Saccharomyces cerevisiae S288C: one gene and its partner. The protein of the gene in region 2 interacts with the protein of the main gene of each other region in a biochemical or structural test. Each region holds a gene or a part of one and is shown on either strand. Other genes may lie near its edges.

The links.
Region 1: the proteins of HSP60 (region 2) and HSP10 form a complex in vitro, tested with the Saccharomyces cerevisiae proteins (one study listed by BioGRID).

What each region holds. Positions count from the first base shown.
Region 1 is NC_001147.6:369,860-372,384, forward strand, and holds HSP10 (Hsp10p), read right to left. Parts: upstream 986-2,525; coding exon 665-985; downstream 1-664. Other genes in the region: YOR019W (uncharacterized protein), read left to right, coding at 1-460; MCO10 (Mco10p), read left to right, coding at 1,826-2,098. UniProt on the Saccharomyces cerevisiae protein: Eukaryotic CPN10 homolog which is essential for mitochondrial protein biogenesis, together with CPN60. Binds to CPN60 in the presence of Mg-ATP and suppresses the ATPase activity of the latter.
Region 2 is NC_001144.5:663,283-667,046, forward strand, and holds HSP60 (chaperone ATPase HSP60), read right to left. Parts: upstream 1,721-3,764; coding exon 2-1,720; downstream 1-1. Other genes in the region: sphinganine kinase LCB5, read left to right, coding at 2,562-3,764. UniProt on the Saccharomyces cerevisiae protein: May participate in assembly and/or disassembly of proteins imported into the mitochondrion. HSP60 are ATPases and have affinity for unfolded proteins.

The DNA of each region.
Region 1 (2,525 bases), on a different chromosome or scaffold from region 2:
TAGCTCGCCTACGTCCCAAATCAAGTTTGCAACCTCTGTAAAACACAAAGATGGAAGAGCCGCCCTTGGCAAAGCCAGAAATCTGCCTGATATAAGGCACAGTATTTCCTTCGACAAAGAAAATTCCTTTGATCCATCTGATAAAAGCAGTAGTGTTGATAATAGCATTCCTTTGAGGAAAGTTAAAAGTGCCGGTGCGTTAAGAAAAGTCAAAACTAATGACTCCTCAAGTAGTGCAGGGTCAAAGAAAAGCTCGTCTAGTTTTAGTACTGTGAACACCTTCACTGGGGGTGGAGTTGGGATTTTTAAGGTGTTTAAAAGTGGAAGTTCCTCTGGAAATAAATCATCCAGTAGAAGGAATAGTAGCAGTGGCGATGTTTTTGAAAGTGATGATCGTAACGACAAGAAAAAGAAGAAGAAAAAAAAGAAGAAATCATTGTTCTTATTCGGCAAAATATGAGCGGATAGTTTGTACACATAGTGTCCCTAAAATTCCTATTGATGAATAGATCAATTTTATTAGCAGACAATTGGGGGCAGCAACTGAATAGCAGAAGAAATTTGAGTTCAATTATTTTTTTTTCCTGTCATACATAATGGCCTATTTACAGGTACATACATATAGAGTATGTATATAAAATCTCTGTTGAAGAAGACATCATTCTTAGTCCTTGGCAATCTTAGCCAGGATTTCAGCGTCCCTGAAAAGAATAACTTCATCGTCGTTACCCAATTTAATGGTAGAACCACCAAACTGTGGAATCAAAACTTGGTCACCAACTTTAACTTGAGGAACAACCTTATTACCATTAGCATCAGTAAAGCCCGGGCCTACGGCAACAACTTCAGCTTGGTTTAACTTCTCCACGTTCTTTTCAGGTAAATACAACCCGGATGCTGTCTTTGCTTGTGCCTTGATTCTTTGGACAAGGACACGGTCCATCAATGGAACGATAGATTTAGCAGACTTCAAAAGGGTGGACATTCTTTTTTTTCTGTAGATTCAATATATTTTCGATCAATGGCTTCTATCAGAAATTATTTTAAACCTAGCACATAATAAGTTTGTACTGTATAAGCGTTTTGACTAATTTTATACATAATCAAGCTTCTTTTTCCCATTCCTTCAAGATTCTAGAAATTTCTATCATTGATGACGGGCATTACCCCGTTAATGACCTTCACACGAATGAGAATTGGGCGGCTAATGAGAGAACTTCGAGAGGTGCAATAAGTGAGAAATAACAACTTTAGAACTCATTATGATTGCTTCCAATACCTAATCCTACGTATGTACTAAATTAAAAAGACAGACATGCATTATTGAATATTGACATTTTGAGAGTAACTTTTTATTATGAGTGGCATAATAAGATAATCGACGCAAGCCACAATTTATACAATAAAAAATGCTACCATCGCTGCTACATATGAACGAAAATAATACAACTATCGTTACGGCCTTTGCTGAACCGTAATAAAATAAAATTCCTTGTTACATTTTTTTAGCCAGCTGCCTCAGAAAGAGGCGTTTACTATTTAATGGAGAAAGAAAGCAAAGAAAAATAAAAGGTATTTTCTTTACGGAAAGCCTTCGAGCAATCCAGGAGAAAGTGGACCTTTTTTTCCCAATGAAGAGATCATAGGAGTATGGATTGAAAATATAATAGAACTTCGGGTAACGAGGTGTAATTTCACAGTCCATAATACAGAGCTAACGGTTTAAGGGTAAATAGTTATCTAAGTCAAGTTTTGAAGGAACAAGTAAGAAAGGTCGCTACTGTTTCTAAACATAAGATATACAAAAATAAATATAGCTATCTCAATGGGTGCTGCATACAAAGTATTTGGGAAGACGGTTCAACCTCACGTATTGGCTATATCTACGTTTATCGCTACTGCTGCAGTGGCATCTTACTTTACCACGAAACCAAAAACCAAAAATGAAGGCAAGAATAGTTCTGCCTTGAGCCAACAAAAAAGCGGTGAAAGTTCAAACTCAGATGCTATGGGAAAGGACGATGATGTCGTAAAGAGTATTGAAGGATTTTTAAATGATTTAGAGAAAGATACGAGGCAGGATACGAAAGCCAACTGATTATGTATAAAAATTTCTGAAATGGTGGTGTTCTTCATCGTTCAGTGAAGGGATGCACTGATTTCTATAAACTTGAAGCACTTTTTGAAACTACTGTTCTATAACGAAAATTAGCGTCCTTCTTTCTATTAAGTATGCATTATACATATAATTCAATATATTCTGAATAGCAAAACGGCAATGAAAAAAAAAAAACACTGAAAATACTTGCCTTAGGCCATTGTGCATGATACGAATATGCACAAAACTTGCCTCTTTTTACTTTACGGATCAATGACAACACTCAGGTGTAAGTGATAGTTGATGGCCTTTCAATATTTGAAAGGCTGGAAGATAATTATAAAAAATCGAACTAATTGCCTATGATTGTTTCATTACTGAGACTATTTTTTCACCTCAAGGGGGTCGTCTGAATTAGCAAAGCCAT
Region 2 (3,764 bases):
GTTACATCATACCTGGCATTCCTGGCATACCACCTGGCATACCACCAGCGCCAGCAGCTGCTGGTGGTTCTGGGGCATCAACAATAGCAACTTCGGTAGTAGCTAATAGTGAGGCAACACCAGAAGCATCAACTAAACCGGATCTAACCACTTTAAATGGATCGATGATACCAGTGGCTAACATGTCGGTGTATTCTGACTTAGAGGCATCGTAACCCTTGGCAAAATCATCACCATATTCATCAATCAATTTGCCGATGATAACTGAACCTTCTTCACCAGCGTTTTCAATGATCTGCTTGGCTGGTCTTGTAATGGCCTTTCTTATGATATCGACACCCAATTTTTGATCGAAATTGTCGACAACAACTTCATCCAAAACTCTAGATGCCTTCACTAAGGCAGTACCACCACCTGGCAAGATACCTTCCTCAACTGCAGCTCTGGTAGCGTTCAAAGCATCATCGTAACGGTCCTTCTTTTCACCAACTTCAACTTCAGATGCACCACCGACCCTGATGACAGCAACACCCCCGGACAATTTGGCCAAACGCTCTTGCAGTTTCTCCTTCTCATATGAATTTGTGGTGGTAATGTCGATGGAGCCTTTGATTTGTTCAATTCTCTCTTGAATAGCTTCCTTTGGACCACTACCGTTCAGGATAACGGTGTCTTCCTTAGTAACGGTAATAGAGTCACAAGAACCCAAGTTTTCTATGGTACATTGTTCTGGTTTCAAATCCAACTCCTCAGTAAAAACAGTACCGCCCGTCAAGACTGCAATATCACCAATTGTATTCTTTCTATTATCACCGAAACCAGGCGCCTTCACAGCACAAACCTTAACTTGACCCCTCAACTTGTTCAAAATACAAGCCGCAAGAGCTTCACCGTCAACATCTTCAGCAATGATCAACAAAGGTCTTCTGCTTTGATTGGAAATTTCCAAAGCTGGCAAGATATCTTGAATGGAAGAAATTTTCTTTTCACTCAACAATAGCAATGGCTTTTCAAATTCCACCTTGCTCGACTTTGGATCAGTGATGAAGTATGGAGAAATAAAACCACGATCAAACCTCATACCTTCAGTAACCTCAAGTTCATCTTCCAATGTTCTACCTTCTCTGATAGTGATGACACCTTCTTTTCCAACCTTTTCCATAGCTGAAGCTAGTAACTTACCAACATGAGAGTCCCCATTGGCAGAAATGGTTGCTACTTGAGCAATTTCCTCAGATGTGGTAATTTCTTTCTTGTTGGCGCTCAAAAATTCAATCACTTTTTCAACTGCAACTTGAGAACCCCTTCTCAAATCCATAGGGTTACAACCAGCGGCGACATTTTTGACGGATTCTGTGAAGATGGCTCTACCTAAGACAGTAGCAGAAGTAGTACCGTCACCAGCAGCCTCATTGGTTTTGGAGGCAACTTCTTGTAGTAACTTGGCACCCATATTTTCAAACTTGTCCTTCAACACAATAGATTTGGCAACTGTAACACCATCCTTAGTAATCTTTGGAGGACCGAAAGGCTGTTCGATTAAAACGTTTCTACCCTTTGGACCCAAAGTAGCAGCAACCGCTTCAGCTAAAGTTTCGACACCCTTAAGAAGGGAGGCTCTTCCTTCTACACCGAATTTCAATTCTTTATGAGAGGAGTAAGCACGACGCAATAAAGGCCTTAAAGTAGCGCGACTACGAACAACGGATGATCTCAACATTTTGAAAACTTTTTTGCTTATGATGTTTTCTCGTGGGAATTTTCTTATATTATTCAAGGAAGTGCATGAAGACGCAACCACGACCTTACATAATGAATGTAAAACTTAGTCTCCTTCAATATATATACATGAATGTCCGTCTGGATTCTGCTCCGGGCAAAACGAAGCAAAATTAAAGTCACCCTCCCCATTTGGTTTTCTGGAAAATTCCACGAGGTCCGTATATGATGACATATACAGATGGGCGGCTATAAAGTAAGTTTCCAGAGGTAATACCAGGCAATAAACAGCTTCAATTGCTCGTAACACCATTGTATACCTACAAAAACAGTGGAATAGGGATGAGACATAACTGGCTGGAATTTCAACTGTACTTCTTTGCACAACTAGTCTTGGCGTTCTACTTGATCATTGCGCGAATGGATGCACTCGCAATAATTCCCAATAGTATAACAGGAGGAACATTTGGATGCATTAGGTATATTATTCATCTTCTTTATCATCAAAATTTTCTCTTCCTTTATGTTACTATGTTGCTTTCTTTTAATCTATGTTTTTTTCCCTTTCAGTTGCCACCGCTTTTCTGCAAGATTCATAGTTAGATTTGCAAATCAAGGTGTTTTCGGGCCTTGTTAAAGCCTTCGCAGGCGAAGAAGAAAGGGAACGTAAGCTGCGTGAGCCGAATCTATTTATACAAAAACAATCAAAAAAGTATAACTACAGCATAAACTGTTGTATATACGTGTTGCAAAATAGGAAAGAAAAGAAGAGTAAAAGGACTCTTGATATTATCTCGAAAAAACCACAAATAGTGTAAGATTTAAACAGTAAGCCAAAAGAGATGACTTTGAAACCTTCAAAGAGACGTAAGGGCAGGTCTCGCCATTCCAGGAAGAAGCAAATAACGTCAGCGATACTGACTGAGGAAGGAATAATGATCAAGGCAAAACCATCAAGTCCTTACACATACGCAAATAGAATGGCAGATAAACGAAGTCGCAGCAGCATTGACAACATCAGTAGAACTAGCTTTCAAAGCAACATCAGTAGAACTAGCTTTCAAAGCAACAGTGATAACAACAGTATATTTGAAACGGCTTCACTAATTAGCTGTGTTACCTGTTTAAGCGATACTGATACAATAGACAGATCGGAAACATCGACAACGGATACAAGTAAAGATGATCTTTCTGCTAATCCAAAACTTCATTATCCTTCGGTGAATGGTCAATTGCCAGCAAACACCGTTATCCCCTATGGACGAATTCTGGATGCCAGATACATTGAAAAGGAACCTCTGCATTATTATGATGCCAATTCATCACCCAGTTCACCTTTAAGCAGCTCAATGAGTAACATTAGTGAAAAGTGTGATCTTGATGAATTAGAGTCTTCCCAAAAAAAAGAAAGGAAGGGCAACTCGCTATCGCGAGGAAGTAACAGTAGTAGTAGCCTCCTGACTTCCAGATCTCCTTTTACGAAACTAGTAGAGGTTATATTTGCTAGGCCAAGACGGCATGACGTTGTACCCAAAAGGGTTTCATTGTATATTGACTATAAACCCCATTCATCTTCTCACTTAAAAGAAGAAGATGACTTGGTTGAGGAGATTTTAAAGAGAAGCTACAAAAACACTAGAAGGAACAAATCCATATTTGTGATCATTAATCCGTTTGGTGGTAAAGGTAAGGCGAAAAAACTGTTTATGACAAAGGCAAAGCCGTTACTATTAGCAAGTCGGTGTTCCATAGAAGTGGTTTATACAAAATACCCTGGTCATGCTATAGAGATCGCGCGGGAAATGGATATTGACAAATATGACACTATTGCTTGCGCTTCGGGAGATGGCATTCCTCATGAGGTGATCAATGGGTTATACCAAAGGCCTGATCATGTCAAAGCATTCAACAATATCGCCATTACAGAAATTCCATGCGGATCAGGTAACGCAATGAGCGTATCCTGCCACTGGACAAACAATCCTTCGTACTCAACTTTATGCTTAATTAAATCGATAGAGACTAGAATTGATTTGATGTGTTGT